Elephas maximus indicus: one gene and its partners. The protein of the gene in region 2 interacts with the protein of the main gene of each other region in a biochemical or structural test. Links are inferred from orthologs where the notes say so. Each region holds a gene or a part of one and is shown on either strand. Other genes may lie near its edges.

What was found.
Region 1: of the proteins of MCM2 (region 2) and CDC7, one has a biochemical effect on the other in vitro, tested with the Homo sapiens proteins (8 studies listed by BioGRID). The link is inferred for Elephas maximus indicus from reciprocal best matches to the Homo sapiens genes MCM2 and CDC7.
Region 3: of the proteins of MCM2 (region 2) and DBF4, one has a biochemical effect on the other in vitro, tested with the Homo sapiens proteins (3 studies listed by BioGRID). The link is inferred for Elephas maximus indicus from reciprocal best matches to the Homo sapiens genes MCM2 and DBF4.

What each region holds. Positions count from the first base shown.
Region 1 is NC_064821.1:150,943,284-150,951,253, reverse strand, and holds the start of CDC7 (cell division cycle 7-related protein kinase), read left to right. Parts: upstream 1-4,968; 5' UTR 4,969-5,066; intron 5,067-5,094; exon of another isoform or gene 5,095-5,560; intron 5,561-5,709; 5' UTR 5,710-5,786; coding exon 5,787-5,901; intron 5,902-7,970. UniProt on the Homo sapiens protein: Kinase involved in initiation of DNA replication. Phosphorylates critical substrates that regulate the G1/S phase transition and initiation of DNA replication, such as MCM proteins and CLASPIN.
Region 2 is NC_064838.1:43,133,341-43,140,456, reverse strand, and holds the start of MCM2 (DNA replication licensing factor MCM2), read left to right. Parts: upstream 1-4,098; 5' UTR 4,099-4,182; coding exon 4,183-4,188; intron 4,189-5,197; coding exon 5,198-5,427; intron 5,428-7,116. UniProt on the Homo sapiens protein: Acts as a component of the MCM2-7 complex (MCM complex) which is the replicative helicase essential for 'once per cell cycle' DNA replication initiation and elongation in eukaryotic cells.
Region 3 is NC_064826.1:57,941,047-57,947,880, reverse strand, and holds the start of DBF4 (protein DBF4 homolog A), read right to left. Parts: upstream 3,003-6,834; 5' UTR 2,741-3,002; coding exon 2,695-2,740; intron 2,329-2,694; exon of another isoform or gene 2,211-2,328; intron 1,598-2,210; coding exon 1,422-1,597; intron 1-1,421. UniProt on the Homo sapiens protein: Regulatory subunit for CDC7 which activates its kinase activity thereby playing a central role in DNA replication and cell proliferation. Required for progression of S phase.

The sequences.
Region 1 (7,970 bases), on a different chromosome or scaffold from region 2:
ATACCAGGTATGCAGGGATGGTTCAACATTGGGAAAACAATTAATGTAATCCACCACATAAATAAAACAAAAGACAAGAATCACATGATTTCATTAACTGGTACAGAAAAGGCATTTGACAAAGTTCAACACTCATTCATGATAAAAACTCTCAGCAAAATAGGAATAGAAGGAAAATTCCTCAACATAATAAAGGGCATTTATACAAAGCCAACAGCTAATATCACCTGAAAACATTCCCCTTGAGATCGGGAATCAGACAAGGATGCCCTTTGTCACCACCTTTACTCAACATTGTGCTGGAAGTCCTAGCCAGAGCAATTAGGCTACATAAAGAAATAAAGGACATCCAGATTGGCAAGGAAGAAGTAAAAGTATCTCTATTTGCAGATGACATGATCTTATACACAGAAAACCCTAAGGAATCCTCCAGAAAACTACTGAAACTAATAGAAGAGTTCAGCAGAGTATCGGGATACAAGATAAACATACAAAAACCAGTTGAATTCCTCTACACCAACAAAAAAACATCAAAGAGGAGATCACCAAATCGATGCCATTTACGGTAGCCCCCCAAAAGATAAAATACTTAGGAATAAATCTTACCAGAGATGTAAAAGACTTATACAAAGAAAACTACAGTACACTTCTGCAAGAAACCAAAAGAGACTTACATAAGTGGAAGAACGTACCTTGCTCGTGGATAGGAAGACTTAACATTATAAAAATGTTCTACCAAAAGTGATCTATACATTTAATCCAATTCCGATTCAAATCCCAACGACATTCTTTAATGAGATGGAGAGACAAATCACCAACTTCATATGGAAGGGAAAGAGGCCCTGGATAAATAAGGCATTACTGAAAAAGAAGAAGAAAGTGGGAGGCCTTACTTTACCTGATTTTAGAACCTATTATACCGCCACAGTAGTCAAAACAGGCTGGTACTGGTACAACAACAGATACATGGACCAATGGAACAGAACTGAGAATCCAGGCATAAATCCATCCACATATGAGCAGTTGGTATTTGACAAAGGCCCCAAAACAGTTAAATGGGAAAAAGACAGTCTTAACCGTCTTTTTTAAACAAATGGTGCTGGCATAACTGGATATCCATCTGCAAAAAACTCCGTGCACAAAAACTAACTCGAAATGGATCAAAGACCTAAATATAAAATCTAAAATGATAAAGACCATGGAAGAAAAAATATAGACAACGTTAGGAGCCCTAATACATGGCATAAGCAGTATACAAAACGCTATAAAGAATGTAGAAGAAAAACTAGGTAAGTGGGAGCTCCTAAAAATCATCCAAAGACTTTGCTCATCCAAAGACTTCACCAAAAGAGTAAAAAGATTACCTATGGACTGGGAAAAAGTTTTTAGCTATGACATTTCTGATCAGCATCTGATCTCTAAAATCTACATGATACTGCAAAAACTCAACTGCAAAAAGACAAATAACCCAATTAAAAAATGGGCAAAGGACATGAATAGACACTTCACTGAAGAAGACATTCAGGTAGCTAACAGATACATGAGGAAATGCTCACGATCATTAGCCATTAGAGAAATGCAAATCAAAACTACAATGAGATTCCATCTCACTCCAACAAGGCTGGCATTAATCCAAAAAACACAAAATAATAAATATTGGAGAGGATGTGGAGAGTCTAGAACACTTATACACTGCTGGTGGGAATGTAAAATGGTACAATCACTTTGGAAATTGATTTGGCACTTCCTTAAAAAGCTAGAAATGGAACTACTATACGATCCAGCAATCCCACTCCTTGGAATATAAAACCACCACTGCCGTCGAATCGATTCCGACTCATAGCGACCCTATAGGACAGAGTAGAATAAGAATATATCCTAGAGAAATAAGAGCCTTTACAAGAACAGATATATGCACACCCATATTTATTGCAGCACTGTTTACAATAGCAAAAAGATGGAAGCAACCAAGGTGCCCATCAACGGATGAAATGGATAAATAAATTACGGTATATTCACAATGGAATACTACGCATGGATAAAGAACAGTGAGGAATCTGTGAAACATTTCATAACATGGAGGAACCTGGAAAGTATTACGCTGAGTGAAATTAGTCAGTTGCAAAAGGACAAATATTGTATAAGACCACTATTATAAGAACTTGAGAAATAGTTTAAACTGAGAAGAAAACATTCTTTTGTGGTTACGAGACGGGGGAGGGAGGGAGGCTGGGAGAGGGGCATTCACTAATTAGATAGTCGATAAGAACTACTTTAGGCAAAGGGAAAGACAGCACACAATATAGGGGAGGTCAGCACAACTGGACTAAACCAAAAGCAAAGAAGTTTCCTGAATAAACTGAATGCTTCGAAAGCCAGTATAGCAGGGGCAGGGTTCTGGTGACCATGGTTTCAGGGGACATCTTGGCATAATGAAATCTGTTAAGAAAACATTCTGCATCCCACTTTGGAAAGTGGTGTCTGGGGTCTTAAACGCTAGCAAGCGGCCATTTAAGGTCCATCAATTGGTTGCAACCCACCTGGATCAAAGGAGAATGCAGAGCACCAAGGATACAAGGTAATTACAAGCCCAAGAGACAGAAAAGACCACATAAACCAGAGACTACATCAACCTGAGACCAGAAGAACTAGATGGTGCCCAGCTACGCTGCCCTGACAGGGAACACAACAGAGAACCCCTGAGGGAGCAGGAGAGCAGTGGATGCAGACCCCAAATTCTCATAGGACCAGACTTAATGGTTTGACTGAGACTAGAAGGACGCCCGTGGTGATGGCCCCCAGACCTTCTGTTGGCCCAGGACAGGAACCATTCCCAAAGCCAAGTCTTCAGACATGGATTGGACTAGACAATGGGTTGGAGAGGGATGGTGGTGAGGAGTGAGCTTCTTGGATCAGGTGGACACTTGAGACTATGTTGGCATCTCCTGCCTGGAGAGGAGATGAGAGGGTGGAGGGGGTTAGAAGCTGGCGAAACAGACATGAAAAGAGAGAGCTGAGGGAGAGAGCTGGCTGTCTCATTTGGGGGAGAGTAATTGGGAGTGTGTAGCTAGGTGTATATGGGTTTTTGTGTGATAGGCTGACGTGATTTGTAAACTTTCAGTTAAAGCACAATAAAAAGTATATATATATAAAAAATGCTGGTCCTTGGATCTCACACCCAGAAGTTCTGTTATAATTGTTCTGGGGTGCAGCCTGGGCTTCAGAATTTTTAACAGCTCCTCAGGTGATTCTAAAGTGCAGCCAAGGTTGAGCACCCGTGTTCTAGAACAGTGCTTCTCAAAATGTAAAATTCATGCAAATCACCTGAGGGTCTTTTATAATGCAGATTTTGATTCAGTAGGTCTGAGGTGGGGTCCAGGATTCTGAATTTCTTGCCTATGCCTGTTCGCTGCAAAAAGTACTAATGGGGATCAGGGGAGGGGATTACTTACTGTCTGGGGAGAAAGTGGATTAGGTAAAATAACTGGTATCTCAGTGGTGGCCTGTGCATGGGTTTTGGAGTTAGAATAATCTTAACTTTTCACACCAAAATGAATCTTTTCCTCCAACAATTTTAGCTATCCTCTCCAATGATCTTATCTCTGAAACCCCAACTTTCACCATCTTATGCACCACCCTTACCTTTATAACTCATACCTCCATTATACAAATTCTTAGATTACATACTGATTTCCAATCCATTGTTCTCCTGACTTTTATCTTTCTACCAACTTCCCTATCACCATTCCTCCTAGCCTCCTGGATTCCATGATGCATCATTACAACCACTTCCTTGTAAATACCCTGACTTGCACTCCCTCTGTGCGAAGTGTTAAATCCACCTATGTTTTCCATGTCTGCATTCTCTTGGCCTGAAAGTTACTTGAGAACCCTGATGCCAATGTCATAATCTTTCTCCCAGTTCACATTCTCACTCAGAAGATACTTCAGAACTTTTTCTCGCTCCTCCGACTTCTAATACCCCTTCCTGCCTTTCTCTCAGCTCATATTTTATTAAGAAAACTGATACGATCAGGTAAGAACTTATTTTCCAACCCATACAAAAATCACCTGCGTCTGAATCCTTCTCTTCTTTTCCTGCCGTTAAAAGGATGGTAATCTGGGTTCATTTCAAAGGCATATCCCCCTCCATGTGCTTTGAATCCATCCCTTCATCCTCCTTGATAACTTCATTCCTGTAGGTATTCCCTTTTTCTCCCACATCAACAATTTCTTTCTCTACTAGATCAATCTCTACTGTTCACCACTCCCTTCCCCCTCTAAGACAAAAACAAAACCTCAAGAACATCTTTCGTTCCTCAAAACACTCTAGTCTTTCTGCCTTATTACATCTCTGAAACTGCTCTTTCTCCTTTTTTATTTCTTTGGGGCGCTCATCACTATCTGTAAGAATTTTATTCATTTGTCATCGCCTCACTAGAATTTAGCCTCATTAAGTGTCGACTATTTTTTTTTTATTGTCTACCTTGTTCACCTGCCTACCTCATAGTCAAGCACTCAATAAATATATGCTAAATGAGCGCCAACTGTACTTATTTCTGTGAATAGTCATAAACAATCAGGAATTGGCATTTTGCGTTTGTGTATTTTTACCGGAAAGGCAGAGCACTCAACGGAAAGGAAGTAAAAGAGCGACAAAGTACACGTCTTTAATCCAGGCTGCCCATGCCTTGGTGTGGCTACGGTATGGAGAAATGTGTCAAGACTCCAGAGCCTGAGGCTTTCCTTTTTCTGAACTATAGTCTTTCCTGAAAATAGTGTTGGACCCTTAACCTAATGGTTCACTCTATTTTTTAGTAAACGATTAACCTCAGATTTTATTTCTATAATCGCTCTTCTAGCCAAGTAGCAGCTAGCAACGGCCTTGGGGGAAGAAACCTAACCTTGCTGCGCAAGCGCCTAAAGTTTTCCAGTGCGCATGCGCAATTGAAACAGCGCGGCGGGAAGTCTAGCGCAGGCGCGTTTGGCCAGCTGCTAAGTGGGGAGAGCCGGGAGCCGGCGACCCAGGCATGTGGGGAGCCACGGAAGTCGTACTCCCTTAAACCGTGAGTTTCCAACGGTTTGTTCTTTCTGAGGGACTAGAAATGAATTCGGAATTCGTGGCTAGTCTTGTCGCAGTGCAGTACCCCCACCCCTTCTGGTCCCGCTGGCCTGCGGCGGGAAAATTGCGCGTCTGCGCACTAAGCATCCGCTTCGTCTCTGGTCTGAGCGGAAGGTCCTGCCCTACTGAGCTCGCGGCCGGATAATGTCCATTCATTGCCCATTCCCTTCCTCCGCCCGCCGCTAGTGGCTCGTGGCCGTATGAGTTCTCTGCCAACTCGCGTGAGTCCCCGTACTAGCTTCCTGGAGTTCCGTCTCAGTGGTCACAGTTTCCTCCTTCAGTCCCCTTCCTCAGGTCAAACCGCTCCGGGCACCCCTTCCACGCCCAAATACAAACGTCAGCAGTTCCCCACCACCCTTCCCATCGCCGCCAGCTGCTGATGTCCCCCGACATGACATTCTCCCTTCGGCCCCCTGCCGGGATTTCTGGGAGGTGAAGGTAAAAGCAAATGGAATCCTTAGAAATAGTTCACAGTTTCTCTTTGGGGATTTGAACATACAGTGCTTTTAAATGTTTGTCCCTTTGGAGACAGTGGCATTTTTTGGTGCTTGCTTCGGTGAGTGATTTAAATTTCTCATCTTCTCTAGCATTCTAATTTTCCCAGCTGCTTTGCTACCCCTGTGGACATGACCTCTTAGCTGGCACTTTACATCCCAGTTTTGTGATGGAGGCGTCTTTGGGGATTCAGATGGATGAGCCAGTGGCCTTTTCTCCCCCGTGTAACCGGCTTCAGGTTGATGGCTCGTTAAAAAAAGATGAGCAGAGTTTTAAACTTCCAGGTATGTGTTTCATTCCAAAGATGTACTTAGAGGTAACAATTCTGAGTTTGTTGCTTTAAAAAAAAAATAACTCGAATCTTTAAAGTGAGTTGTATATTTGCGTAGGAACATTTTACAAATCAGTAAAGCTTTATAAGATCTAGATTTAGGATTGGATTGCAGTTTAGAAAGAGGATTGTAATCCTGTTTTGTCATTGTACAGATGAAGTTGCTAAAGTCTGAACAATTACCCATTGCCACCGAGCCTTTTCCAACTCATAGCAACACTATAGAACAGAATAGAACTGCCCCGTAGAGTTTCCAGTGAGCAGCTGGTGGATTTGAACTGCCAGCCTTTTGGTTAGCGGAAGAGCTCTTAACCACTGTACCACCAGGGCTCCAAAGTCTAAACGTTAGTGACTGCCTGATAACACCAAGTTTGTTAATGCCCAACCTAGAATTTGCCTCTTCCTAGACCTATGGTCTTATCTCTTCTCACTGTATTGTCTTAAGCTTGACACTGGAGGGATCTTTACTAAAGTATTCAGAGGCAGAATTCACTGACACAAATACATGAAATGTTTGTAGCAACAATAAAGCACAAAACCTGTGGGAGCACCGGCCGCACCCAGTGGTGGCTCAGTGGTAGAATTCTTGCCTTCCATGCAAGAGACCTTGGTTTGATTGCACCGCATATGCAGCCACCATTCCTGTCAGCACAGCGAATGTTTGCATGTTGCTGTGATGATGAACAGGTTTCAGCAGAGCTTCCAGACTAAAACAGACTAGGAAGAAAGGCCTACTTCAGAAAATCAGCCAGTTAAAACTCTGTGGTTCACAGTGGCCTGATCCGTAGTCAATCATGGGGATGGCACAGGACTGGGCGGCATTTTGTTACTGTTGTACATGGGCCATTATAAATTGGGGGCTGATTGCATGTCAGCTAACAACAACAATCCTAGATTTTATTGAAAAATACAGTATAATTTACTTGATTGTTAATCTATTTGAATAAAAATGTGTTCCAAGTAATATATTTTTGCTCTTTTCCTGCCACTCCAAGTGCTTTGGTGGGGGAAGAAGAAAATTATGGTCTCATCTGAACATGTCTGTTACTAAATCTGTTAAGCATCATTTTTATTGAACACCTGTACATGTTGGAAGACAATTCTCCATTAAACTGTCATGGCAGCTAACAACAATGTATCTCAGTGTGTATCATGAAGCATTGTTTGAATTTATCCCAGACCTTGGGGTGAGGAGGAGAGGGTCAAACAATATCTAGTCTTGTACACTAAAATGTTTGTCTTCATTCCTGTTTTAGCACAGTGCCTGGGACATAGTAGGCATTCAGTAAATATTTGTTAAATGGAGGAGTTCCAGTTAACTGTTATTATTATTTTTTTTTTTTCCTTAAAAGCTGGCTAAGTCTTTTCCATCTTTCTTTTAAGTGAATTTAGTGTTTGTCCAAAGCCGATTAGTTTTGGCCTTTTGTCCATGCTCAGTGTATACTTATGCTTCCTGACTGAAAGTAAGCTCATTTTTGGTCTCAAAATGAGTACATTTCGTGGGTTCCCTAATTTTGGTGATGAATCCAGGTTACCTATGCTCAAAACTGTAGAGTTGTTACGGAGTTAATGCTTTGTATTTGCTTCCTAATCTAGTTCACCCAGCATTGTCTTCTTTCTTTTTAATGTGTATAGCATTGCCTCTCCATTCCCTCTGCCACCACATTAATTCATCCCTTTATCACATTGCTCCTTAATTGTAATGAAGTTTCTTACCTAAACTGCCTGCTTTCACTTCCTTTCCACACTCCAGTTCATCTCATACACTGGTACTAATAATCTTAAAATGCCCCTTTTGTCCAGTTGAATGAATGGTGTTCCTCTTCCATTTTTCTTAAGATTACCTGTATTTAACAATTCAGCCTTATTAATCATTTGCCACATCATTGTGCACTGCCTTGTGTTGTTATTCCTGTATTTTGAATCTCTTCAATGTATACTATAAGCTCCTTGAAGACAGTGTCTCCCATAGCTACTGACTTATGTTGTGTCCTAGGCAGGGTGCAAAGGATGAATCTGATT
Region 2 (7,116 bases):
CAGTTATATTGATGAGATCTACAAGATTAGATAGTGCCTTAAGCCAATCTCTTTTGAGATATAAAAGAGAAAAGTGAGCAGAGAGACATGGGGACCTCATACCACCAAGAAACCAGTGCCAGGAGCAGAGTGTATCACTTGGACCTGTGCGGAGAAGCGCCTAGTCCACAGGAAGATTGATGAAAAGGACCATCCTCCAGAGCCGACAGAGAAAGGCTTTCCCTGGGGCTGATGCCTTGAATTTGGAATTCTAGCCTACTAGGCTGTGAGTGAATAAACTTCTGTTTGTTAAAGCCATTCACTTGTGGTTTTTCTGTTATGGCAGCACTAGATGACGAAGAAAAACAGGCATAGAGAAGTGGATGAAAGAATGGTGTGATCAGATAATAAATCAGAGAATGCTTCATACTGAGGCCAGCCTATTCTTAGGAGGGGCCCTAGCAGAGGGCTATTGGCTCAGGCTGAGGGTCAGCCAAAGTTTAGGAACTTGAGGTAACGAAAGAAGATTAACCCCAAGTTTGGTTAATAAGCATTGTGTTCTGACTGATCAGTGGGGACAAGTAGCTCAGCTAATTGTTTACAAGGCAAAGGATGGGAATGTGGAAGGTCTGTGTCTGGCCTCGTCACGGGTAAACAAGGGGGCATCTCTGAGTCTTCCCCCACCCCAGCTCCCCCCGCCCCCCAGCTTCTGCCGGGCCTAATCTGCTCTTTTATATCTCAAAAGTGATTGGCTTAAAACACATCCTACACTGATATGACCTTATTAAAATAACAAAGAAAACTCCATCCGCACACAGAATTACCACCACAGGTATTGTTGTTAGTTGTCATCTAGTTGATTCTGACTCCTGGTGACCACATGCGTGCAGGGTAAAACTGCTCCATAGGGTTTTCAAGGTTGTGACCTTTTGGAAGCAGATCACAAGGTCTCTCTTCTGAGGCAACTCTGGGTGGGTTTGAACCGCCAAGCTTCGGCTAGTAGTTGAGCTCTTAACCACTGATGCCACCCAGGGACTCCTTTCCACAGATATGTTGTGTGCCTTCAAGTCGATTCTGACTCATAGCGGCCCTATATGACAGGGTAGAGCTGCCCCATAAAGTTTCCTAAGCTGTAATCTTTACAGGAGCAAATCTTCTGGTCTTTTCTCCCATGGAGCTGCTGAATAGTTCAAAGTTCCGACCTTTCAGTTAGCAGCAGAGCACTTAACCATTGCACCATCAGGGCTCCTTTTCCACAGGTACACCAAAAAAGCAAACCTGCTGCCGTCAAGTCGATGCCAAGTCATAGCGATCCTATAGGACAGAATAGAACTGCCCCATAGGAATTCCAAGGCTATAATTTTTATGGAAGCAGACTACTACATCTTTCTCCTTCGGAGCAGCTGGTGGGTTCAAACTGCCGACTTTTCAGTTAGCAGCCAAGTGCTTAATCACTGTGCCACCAGGGCTCCTCCCGTAAAGAGTGAATTTGGAAGTAGATCCTCTCCCACTCGCCTTCAGATGAGAACCCAGCCAAGGTCTCTTGTGAGAGACCTTGAGGCAAAGGTTAAGCTGTGCCCATATTCCTGACTGTGATGGTTAATTTCATGTGTCAACTTGGCTAGTCTATGATTCTCAGTGGTCTGGCCAGATACTGGACGTGTTGCTGTTCCCTATTGCAATGTATAATGGTTAAGATTGTGTGTCAACTTGGCTGGGCCATGATTCTCAGTGGTTTGGCAGTTATGTATGAAGTAATGTGGAAGTTATGTAATGATGTAGTTATCCTCCATTTTGTGATATAATGTTATCACCTCCATGATATGATCTGATGTGATCAGCTAATCAGATGTAAAGGGAGTTTATTCAGGGGTGTGACTTGCATCCAATGTTGTTGTTGTTGTTAGGTGCTGTTGAGTCGGTTCCGACTCGACTCATAGCAACCCTATGCACAACAGTTTGTCATACTGTAGGGGCTTGTGTGTTGCAGTGATGCTGGAAGCTATGCCACCGGTATTGAGATACGAGCAGGGTCACCCATGGAGGACAGGTTTCAGCTGAGCTTCCAGACTAAGACAGACTAGGAAAAAGGACCCGGCAGTCTACTTCTGAAAAGCATTAGCCAGTGAAAACCTTATGAATAGCAGCGGAACATTGCATCCAATATATATGGATATTCTGGCAAAGCTCACTGGCTTTTGGATCCTACATCTGGCTTGTCATAATCTGATCTCTGGTTCTTAAGACTTAAGCCAGCAGCCTGCTGTACTGTCTGCTGATCTTGGGATTGTCAGCCCCTGCAGCTATGTGACTCAGGAGAAGCCTGCAACCTGATGCCTGACCCATGGACTCGGGTCTTGCCAGCCTCTACAACCATGTGAGCCATTTCCTTGAGATAAATCTTTCTCTGTCTCTCTCTCTCTATATATACACTCATTGCTGTCAAGTCAATTCCAACTCACAGTGACCCTATAGGACAGAGTAAAACTGCCCCAAGGAGGAGCCAGTGGGTTCAAACTGCTGACCTTTTGGTTAGCAGCAGAGCTCTTAACCACTGCACCACCAGGGCTCCAACATTAACTGTAAGTCATTAGAAACGTGTTAAGTCTTAAGAAAGTTATTTAGAAAATTTCTGAACTTAGACATAGAAACAGAAGTGTGTGAAGTATGGGAAGAACGTAAACAACCTTTAAGTTCATTTGACCTGGCATGCTGTGACACAAGAAAACATAAATCTAAACAACCTCCCCAATCTTGAACCTTGAAGAAAAGATGTGTCACTTGGCTACTCTCTAACCCTAAAGAAACGGCATTACATACTAGTCTTTGATGTCACTGTGGTGTCAAGGTGACAAATTCACTTATAAACTCCAAGTTTCTGCTCACTCACTGAGCGAAGGCAGAGGCGGAACTGAGATTCTGTCCACTGCCACCGACCTTGGACCCTAGCTACTAGCTACGAGGGGCCCCCTCCACTGAGTTCTTGCTGTGGTTAAGCCTTCCTCTCGAGCCCTCTCATTAAAGATAAAAGAATGAAGTCTAAAGATCTGGACTCTAATCATTGAACTAACATTGTAACCGTTAATTCTGAGTCTCTGGTTCTAAGTGAGTGTTGTGCAGTCTTGCTTGCATGCCTTGCCTTGACTGCCTTGCAATAAACTAAACGAGTTTATGCATGACGAACCTGAGAATCTATTTATTTTCTAAGATTCCTACAATCCTACACACACAGCTGCCAACAAAGCAGCCTAGCGCTTAACCATCGTGCCACCAAACAACATGCCTCAGAAAACAAGCTTTTGTTGAAGGGATCAACCTCTCTGAGCCAGCTGCGTCTTCTATGTTGCTGTTGTTAGGCACCATCCAGCCAGTTTCGACTCATAGCAATCCCATTTACAACCGAAGGAAACACCGCCCGGTACTGCGACGTTGTTATCCTTGAGCCCCTTGTTGCCCCTTGTTGTGTCAATGCATCTCTTTGAGGTCAGTGAAAAAGAGAAAGAAAAGAGGTCTTCCTCTTTTTTGCCGACCCTCTACTTCACCACGCATGATATTCTTCTCCAGGGACTGATCCCTCCTCCTGATAACATGTCCAAAATATATGAGACAAAGTCTCACCATTCTTGCTTCTAAGGAGCTTTCTAGCTGTGCTTCTTCCAAGACAGATTGGTTTCTTCTCTTGGCGGTCCATGGTATATTCAATACTCTTTGAGAACACCATAATCCAAAGACGTCAATTCTTCTTCCCTCTTCCTTATTCATTGCCGAGCTTTTGGGGCTTGAAGGATTGAAAACACCACGGCTTGGGTCAGGCCCACTTTAGTCCCTAAAGTGACATGCTTGCTTTTTACCATAACTTGACCAGGACGCGCAGCCAGTAGGTGGAGCTGGCGCTCCTCGCACCCAGACCCTGCCCCAGCTCTCAGATCTTTTGCGGTCAGTGTAGCCCGAGGGCAACCCTGGTACACGACCCGCAGGCGACCTCTGCTCCCGGAAGCTGCGGCACGGCCCGCGGCCGACGGGGGCGGAGCCGGACTCACTGGCCCACCCCACGCGCGCCAGCTGGACGCAAGTAGACGCCGTGACGTCATCACGCCATATTCATTATTCACGGCGTTTCCCGGGCTCCGGCGAGTCACGTGACACCACTTTTGGCGCGAAACCGGCGGTGGCGGGCTTAGCGGAGAGGAGCGCGGCGCTACTATGGCGGTGAGCTGTAGCGCCAGCGGGGCCCGGGCGTGCGGGTGGTGCCCGTGGGGCCGGCGCGTTTGCCCTGGGGATCGGCCGTGGCGTGGGGCGGCGGGGACCGGGGCGAATGAGCCGTCTCCGCCAGGCTTGCACGTTTACACGGGGGGCTGAGAGCGGAGTGGGGCGGCTGGGGGCCGGTGAGCACCAAGAACGGACACGGGAGACTCGGGGGAGTTGTGCCTTCTAGTCCCCTGGTGTCGCCCTCCTCAGGCGCTGCCATACTTCAGTCCTGGGTCAGGTCCCCCAGACCGAGGCCTGGCCCCTGGTCTCAGGTTTGGAGAGGCTTCTCCCCTCTCTTCCCCTCTGACGGGGTCTGAAAGGCACGGGGGCGGACGTTCGAGTCCGCCTGGCGCTCCCCGTTCCCCGCACCATCCTGGGAGCGCTGAACTCCGTGAGCGAACTGCCTGACCGAGCTCTCCAGTGCCCGTGCCCTGTCATTTATTCATTTCGCATACGCTTCTTGGGCACCATCTGCATGCCTGGCCCAGGGTATACACCAGGCCACTAGGTCTCTGCATCTTCATGCACTTTCTGTTGTAATATTTTCTTGACCTTTTCTCTTGCTGACCACCCCCTGCACCAGCCTGTGGCTCCAGACTGGTTCCAGCAGGGTTCCAGCTCCTGGCACGTTGTGGGTGCACAAATGGGTGGAATGCATGATTAAGGGGGAGCAAGTAGACCATAAACAGGTAACTAAACAAGTGACAGCCTCAGTGATTTCTCGGGGAGAAACGCAGGGCGATGTGAATTCTGGAGCAGCCCAGGCTCAGGGCGGACGTGCCAGCAGAGGGAACCGCAAGTACAGAGGTCTTGTGTGGAAGAGGTTTGATGTGTTTGAAAACGGTGTCACTAGGTCTGGTGGAGAGGGAGGCTGAGAGGAGAGGAGATGGGAGAGGTCACCCCTCATGATAAAGGGAAGCTGTGTCGGCCCTCACCTGGCCATCTGTGACAGCGGCATCTTATCTTCCAGGAATCATCGGAGTCCTTCACCATGGCGTCCAGCCCGGCCAGGCGCCGCCGAGGCACTGACCCTCTCACCTCCAGCCCTGGCCGAAGCTCCCGGCGCACTGATGCCCTGACCTCCAGCCCTGGCCGAGACCTTCCTCCCTTTGAGGATGAGTCTGAGGGGCTGCTAGGCACTGAGGGGCCCCTGGAGGAAGAAGAAGATGGAGAGGAGCTTATCGGAGATGGCATGGAGAGGTATTTTTATTCCAGGCCAAGGGAGACAGGTTCATGGAGCTACAACTCGGGTCTATTTAACATACTTTGGTGTGTCTAACTTACAAAGACTAGACCCTAAGGCCTGGGTAAGCCTACCTGCATGAGATCAGCACCCAGGAAATGCAAAGGGATTTCTAAATTGGGGGCCGCAACTTGGAAAGATAGGAAGCAGCAGTCAGCCAAGTGTGTTTCTCTGCAACTTTTCAAAGAAGCAGTGTATGTATGGGTCTGATTAATCAAGATTTAGCGTCAACCTGCAGACATACTCTGTACCAGGCCCTGTGTTAGATACTTCCACACTTTTTGTCTCACTTAACCCTCGTAAAAATAAACATACCGACATGTATTAAAGGCCGTCGGGACTTAGTATTCAGACACAGTAGAGTCTGCAAGTGAGCAAGGTTAGATTTTTGCTCCTTCCCTATTCTGTATTCACAACTGGGATTTGGTGGAGACTTTAGTGGCAGAATTGTGTGCTCTTTCAGGAGCCTCGCGTAGATTATCCTTTGGTGTCTTTCTTTACCCTCATTCAGTGGTCCCCAAACTTAGAATGAAACTACTGGACAGGCCATTACACAACCCTGGATGGTGCCCTCTGTGAGCCATGGGAGGGATTTTCACAAGCACTCTTAAACGTACAGGAGTTTTGCTTTCATCACTACATGTAGAACCTACCTCACAGGTGGTACAAGTATAGGACTTGCCCGACGAGGAAGGAATGAGGACCCTCTGGATCCATCAGTCCTGTGCTTAGGCCAGGATGCCAGGTCTGGATAGCTCCCCGCTCTTGACGGTGGTGGTGTTCAGGCAGGAGGTGCCTGCCACCCACCAACCCTTCATTGGCTGTCTGTATCTTGACCCTTCTCATTCTCTTCAGTGATTCTGGAGAGAGAGAGGCCCTCATAGGTGGCCTCTGGGCAGAGGTATCTGAAGACTAAAACTAAATCCATTGCCATCGTAATGACCCCGTAGGACAGAGGAGAGCTGCCCCCATTGAGTTTCCAAGGCTGTAATCTTTACGAAGCAGACTGCCGCGGTTTTCTCCCGCAGAACAGCTGGTTGGTTTGAATCACCGACTTGGTTAGCCAAGTGCTTAACACTGTGCCACCAGAGCTCCTTATTTGAAGACTAGCTGGGCCCAATTTGGTTTTGTTGTGTGTGTGTGTTAAACTGCATTATTGAGGCGTAATTTATATAATAAACTTCACCCCATGTAAACATACTGTTCAGTGCTCGTTAGTAAATTTGCTGGGTTGTGCATCTCCACCACCTAGTTTTAGAACATTCCCATCATCCCAGTAAGATCCCCCTTGCCTGTGTATACAGTTAATCCCAAGGCCTATCCCTACCCCCAGACGACCGCTAATCAACTTTCTCTCTATAGAGTTGCCGGTTTGGGACATTTCATACAAGTGGAATCAAACAATGTGGAATTTTTTGTGTCTGGCTTCGTCCACGTAGCATAACCTTGTTGAAGGTTCATCCGTGTGTACCATATATCAGAACTGCATCCTTTGTAATGCTGAGTAATACTTTATTGTACGGATAGACTACGTTTTATTCATTCATCACTTGATGGAGGCTTGGGTGGATACTGTGAAAATATTAGTGTAGTGTGCTTACGAAAACACCTCAATACCTTGGGGTGGAGGTGGGGTTGGATCTTTT
Region 3 (6,834 bases), on a different chromosome or scaffold from region 2:
AACACAAGTTTAAAAATCACTGATTTAGACAAGAAGGACTAAAGAGTAATTCATCATTTTTGAAAAATCTGTCACATTATACTAAATAGCTACTTTGTACCATTAGTAGCTAAAGGAACAGAATGGAGCAGTGGTATGTTATTTTGGGAATTAGGAGATTAATCATGCTGTGATGGGGCCATTTAACTTCTCTGGACCTCGGTACTTCATTTCTAAAATGAAAAGGTCTTTACTCAATGTCTAAGGTCCTGAACACATTAAGACATTCCTGACAGGTGGTACAGTCAATATGGTGCCAGGCTTATAAAACATGACCTTTAGGAATGCAGCCATATGGTCATTATGATACATGCAACTATTATACAAGCCTGTGACAATGTTTTAGTTTAACAAAATGAATAGCAAAAAAGTAGTTAGAATAACTTTTCAAAGATAGATAAGTAAAATATCACATCAACACAAAATTTCAAGAAACTTGTTACACATTCTTGTTCAAACTTCTAGTCTGCGAACAACAGACTCTATTCAGAAAACTTTTATTCAAAGATGGTGACCTTAAGAAACTCAGTCCAGCAGAAACAAATCTTTTAAACAGAAAGACATAAGAAATAAATTAATAAAATCACAACAGCCTCACTTACTAAAATTCACCCAATATTAACCCAGGTCCTAAGAAAAATCTGAGAATTTTGTCCATGTTTTATAATTTCCTAATCATCTAAACAAAGAGCCCTATGGTACAATGGCTAAACACTCAGCTACTAACTGAAGGGTTCCTCCCATAAAGATTACAGCCTAGAAAACCCTATGGGGTAGTTCTATTGTGTCACACGGGGTTGCTATGAGTTGAAAAGCGACTCACAGCACCTAACAACAGCAATAATCATCTAATCAATGTGCAATGTAGGAAATAAATAGGTTTTTCAGGTTCTTAATTCAAAATTGTTCCCTTAATGACATTCATTCTGTTGAGACAATATCCCTCAAAAGCAATTTTAACACTGTGGTTTGAACTGGTCTTCTGTGTCCTGTAGTAACATACTTACTGTTATACTACTCCATACAAATTTATGCAGCTCCCCAATAAACATAATCAAGGAGTTCTTGTCATTTGGAGGGCATCCCGACATTACAGTAAGATAATCGGCGGTTCCATTAGGATAAGGGAGTCTCCTTTCTCAAAATTTGGGAACTTTACACTAGGCTACAAACGACAGAGATCTGAAAGTTTTGTCAAGCTACAAAAGTTAATTTTTTTTTTTTTCCCAGCAATAATAAGAAGCTGATAAAAAGTTTAAGCTTGGGCTGACAGATTTTTACAAGTTTTTCAAAGTGAGGATTTTAAATGACTGCGTATTACATTAAAAAGTACTAGTTACAATTTTTTTCCTTGTTTGTCAAAGTGTGTGGTTTTAACTTACCCCGCCTAGATCTTTAATGTCTTTTTGCAGTTTTTCAGATATTGAGACAGAAGGTAAGTCAAGGTAAAATACTTTCCCCCAAAGTGGCTTGTATTTGAATTTTTCTGGTTTGTTGCTGTCAGTTTTCAGAGACTTCAGAGATGGTCTGTTTTTTTCATTATTGACTTGGATTCCACCTGTTATTAAACATGTTTAGGATTAGATCATGTTTTATGCAAACAGAAAATGTTCTATTATTAAATAATTATTTATTTACAGAAAAGTCTCGATCAGCAGGAAATTTTTTTTCACTAAGGCACAGAACTATAAAAAACCTTTTACAAAGATTTTCCTCCTTCGAATGTGAACGCCATGAGTATTCATGCAACAAATATTTATTGAGCATCTGCTCTTCTGTTGAACACTCAAAACTTGCACTTAAAGTACTAAACACTTAGTTATGCAGAAAACTTCTGTTACCCAGAATGACTTTGTCCTCAAGGGTTCATGACTATCGGAGTTTTAGTTTCATATACAGTTTGTGTATTATGAACTATTAAGGGTCAGTGCAAGAACCAGTCACCATTCACTTCATTATTTCCACTGAAAACGAAACTGAGATTCAAGGAAATGCTTTAAAAATTAACTTTTAGAACACAATCTCTTCATAAATTCATATACATATTAAAAAAGAAAAACTTAGAGACTGGAATGTTTCACCAAATAAGTGATGGAAAATGGAAACGCACTTTTGTTTCCTATTTGTCCATAACGTTGGAAACAATGTGTTTGAAATACACTTCCGCTTACCTTTAAGAGCGAAGAAAAATAAACTTAAGACCAAAAATCCACCCACAATCACCCCAATCTGTTCATGAAGTGAAAAGCCACAAACACGTCTGTCTTTAAATTGAGGGCTGAGTCTGCAGCTTCAGAGGGCCTGAGCCGAGTCTCAGCGTCTGTGGGACGGCCGGGAAGGAGGCACCGCAGTACCCCGGCAAGTTCTGGGGTCCGCACATCGTTCCCTAGTTTTACAACCAACCGAAGACCCGGAATCTGGGGCTTGCTGGGCATGGAGGGCGCACGGGCTGGGCCGGACCCCGGACCCTTTCTGTGGCAAAACCTTGAACGGAGCCTTCCTTCAGGCCACGTCTCCACAAAGAAGAAAGGAAGGCCGCAAAAGCTGGAAAAGAAAATAAGTGGACCGGACAAGAAAACTCTGAGGGATCAATGGTGGAGTCATTGAAGGAAGAAGAGGATTAAATGGCCTGCGGGCGGAGGAGGGGCTTCGTACCCTGGAAATGTCCTTTGCCGTGGATCCTCATGGCTCCGGAGTTCATGGCAGCCACCCGGCACCTACATGCTGGGTCCGGAGATGGTGTCGCGCCGGACTGCCGGGAAAACACGGCTCCTTCGGTCCTGTGACAGGCTCGCTACTTCCTTCGTTCCGCGGTCAGCGGCCACCTCGCAGTAGAGATGCCGCGTCTACGGGCCGGGCCTCCAAGGCCGAATCCGGCTCCAAGGCGCGGAAGAGAAACGGGCGAAGCACAAGCGAGTGGGCTGCGGCGGTTGAAGATTTGAAAACGCGTCACGCAGCCGCGGCGCCGATACGCGCGCCCCGCCCTCCCTGACGCTGCGCGCCGCGCCCCGCCCCCACGTGCCCGTCTCCTCTTGTCCCGCCCCCGTAGTGCCCGCTTTCTCGCGGCACTCGACCCGATCCTCTCGTGCCCGCTTCCTCGGGTCGCGCGGCCGCTCCTCTTGTGCCCGCCTACTCTTGCCCGCTTCCGCTCACCTGGCGCCCCGACCCCGTCGTGCCCCCTTCTCGCTCCCCGAGCCCCGCCCCTGTCGTGCCCGCCCCCTCGCGCCGCGCGCCCCGCCCCCACGGGTCGCGTCTCCGCCCCCTCTCGTCCCCCAGTGCGATGTCCTCTGTGCAGCAGGCCGGGTCCTCGCGCAGCCTTCTGGAGTCCTGGTGGCTGCGTATTGACTAACCCTAGTGAATGCGGTTAGCGTTGGAGACTTTCCCAGGCTGCCGCCAGGGTCATTCCCATTTTTTAGAGTTGCCTGGATCGCCTGCCCTCCAGCCGCCTCCTCCACCAGGTACGCTCATTTCCCACCGGTCGGATGCCGGAGAGGCAAGCCGCACTGTGGCTGCGGCCGATCCCAGACTCAGCCTGGGGCCGGGGCCGGAGCCGGGGCCGGAGCCGGAGCCGGAGCCGGAGCCGGGGCGGGGCCGGGGCCGGAGCCGGGGCCGGGGCGGGGCCGGGGCCGGAGCCGGAGCCGGAGCCGGGGCCGGAGCCGGAGCCGGAGCCGGAGCCGGATGGCGAGAGGCCCTACTATCTGCGCTTCGGGTTGCAGAGCGTAGTTTTCCCGCGGTTGCCTCTGAGCCCTCCGACTTAGGGACAGGCTGCGGAGGGACTTCCCAGGATGAAAGGGGTGTAGGAGCGAGGGCCCGGCCAGGTGGCCCCCAGCCCTGACTGAAAAGCCGATCCATAGCGCCTTCAGGTTGATTTGTGCCATTTGGCACTTGACTGTGGCCTGCTCTTTTGACGTTTTCTGTGCGCAGGTTTCTGTTTTCGTAATATTTTGTGTAAGTTTATGTCAACAATAATGGAAAGGGAGTATAATCTGAAAACTCAAGTCTGGGGTTCTCGACCGACTATTTCCCAGCTATGGTAGTGAGACTTTGGTTAAATTACCTAATCACCATGAGTCTCAGTTTTCTCGTTTGTAAAACAGGCATAATTGGTTTGTGGTAAGAATTAAAATGTTTGTGAAAGAGTACCTTGTAAATGGGAAAAATGTTTCACACACACGCAAAGTCAATTGGGGGTGGTATGTTCTTTCTTGGAAACTTCCTAAGGAGGACGATGATGGTATATTGTACTACTTTGCATTCCTTTATAGCTCTTGGCCCTAATAGGCACTCACTGTTTAATAGCTGATTTTTACTTAGCAGCTCAAGAAAGTTAAAGAGTGCCAGTAGCATCGTTTTGCAAATTGGCACCTTAAGACGGGGTAGATTGTGATACCTTTAGCCAAAATGGAGAACACAAGAAGTGGATCACGTTTGCTGAGGGAAATGAGAGTTTTGTTTTGAACAGTTTTAGGTTGAAGGGCCTGGGGAGATAATCATGAAGTTAGACAGTTGGAGATATTTGTCCAACTTGGGAGAGAGGTCTGAGCTACAGAGAGAGGGAGAAAGATTGATTGTTTGAGAGACTGATTTCAAAGACATGCGGACTGGTCACTGATTCTTGTCATGGGGTAATGCATAAGAAGTTATCAGATCTTGAGAGGTGGGAGGAGGTTAATTTGAAAAAACATTCAACATTATATATTTTTTATTTGGAAAAATCTATTTTCAAATAACTACAGAAAAATCACAGGATTTTTATGTTTATTGAAATTTTTTAAAGGCTGAGAAACAGTAATATGGAATGTAGTTGAAACTATGGAAGGAGATTAAATTGTCCAGAAGAGCATGTGAAATAAGAAGGGAAGTGGCGATGAGCAGAGGATGATCGCATAATGAAAGAGATGGAGAAAAGGACAGAGAACTGGGAACAAAACTTATCTTCAGAAGCTACAGAGAACTGCAAATATTGAAATCATACAGGCTTCACTAACTATATGGCCTTAGGTAATTTTGAGCCTTAATTTTAATCTGTGAAAACGGGGTAATAATACTTCTCAGAATTGTTGTGAAGATCAAATGAGTCATTTTAGAAAGCTTAATTTAAATTCGTACAATGCGTAGCACAGAGTAAGAGCTCAGTTAAGTGCTGTCATGCTGGTGAACTCCACACCAGCCCTTCCATTGCTTGAAAAATAGGCCTTTGACTTTGTGTTTAAGATGTTATCGGTTTCCTCAGTGACAATTTCAGTAGGTGCAGGAGGTGGAACTAGCTAAGACTGATGGGCTTGAAGTGAGAGAGTATACCAGTTCAAAAAAATTTGTCAAGGTAGAGAAGTATAGTAATGGGGAAGGTAGTTTCGGATCTTTGGAAGTTTTAGGAGGTGTGGGAAAGATTTAAGCCTGTCCCTGTGTAAGGGGAGAAAAAACGGAAGCCTAGTTTCTGTTCTAGTGAAAGCTGAGTTACCTTGCTTATCTACTGTAATGGGGAATGACAGTAACATAGTCGTACCCTATGCTTTTAGCATACCCTTGACTGCACTCTAGGTGATAATGCCAAGATATGCATAAGTGGAAAGTCTGCCTTAATAGATAGTGTTAATAAGTTTGTAGACTGTAACCTGAGGTTAATTTTGAGAAATACTACTTTTGGAATCCAATTCTTTTAGAAGCCACAGGAAGAAGGACTTGGCCAATAAGGGTAGAAATCTCCTTACATAGCATATCAATAATTTGGTCTGTTGGTAAAAGTATAAGGTTTATGTTAAAGTCAATCTTGAAAATGTACAATCAAAAGAGTCCTTCAGATGAAAGGTATATATTCAAGAAGAAAAGACTGTCCTATAGGGTCTACTCTGTCCAATATGGTCACTGTGATTTGAAATCAACTCAACAGCAACAGGTAAGTAGGATATAGAATGAAGAAGAGACATAGAAAAGAGGAATTTCACAGGGAGTTGTTGAGGGAGGAGCGTATTGCAGAACATTTCTTTAAGAGGAGTGATTGATTTGCTTTCATAAAAATACTTTACATTCTGAGGTTACAGGAGAGCCAAAAGATATTAATGCTAGAATGGTCTCTCCCACTAGCCTATGTGCTCTCTGAAGAAGGGACAATGCCCCGCACATTGAAGAATGAAAAGACGGAAAGCAGAAAGTATGTTAATAGGGCTGTAGGGAATTTAGAGCAGTAGAGACTACATTTTGAGTTCTAGGCAATCCACTAAGATTTTTCTCAGTTTTTCTCCATCTCCCCTCAAGTCTTTGGTTATGTTGTCAATTTTCCACATTTTTCTTTGGATAAGATGAAAAGGAGACTGTCTTGGCTATCTAGTACTGCTATAACAAAAATACCACAAGTGGATGGTTTTAACAAAGTGAAATTTATTTTCTCACAGTCTACTCGGTTACAAGTCCAAATTCAGGGCGTCGGCTTCAGGGGAATGCTTTCTTTTTCTGTCGGCTCTGGAGGAAGGTCTTTGTCCTCAATCTTATCTTGTTCGAAGGGCTTCTCAGGTGCAGGGACCCCGTGTCCAAAGGACATGCTCTGCTTCTGGTGCTGCTTTGCGGTGGTATGAGGTTCCCCACTCTCTGCTTGTTTCCCTTCCCCTTTATCTCTTGAGAGATAAAAGGTGGTGCAGGCCACACCCCAGGGAAACTCCCTTTACCTTGGATCGGGGAAGTGACCTGAGTAAGGGTGGTGTTACAATCCCACCCTAATCCTCTCAACATAAAATTACAATCACAAAATGGAGGACAACCACACAATACTGGGAATGATGGCCTAACCAAGTTGATACA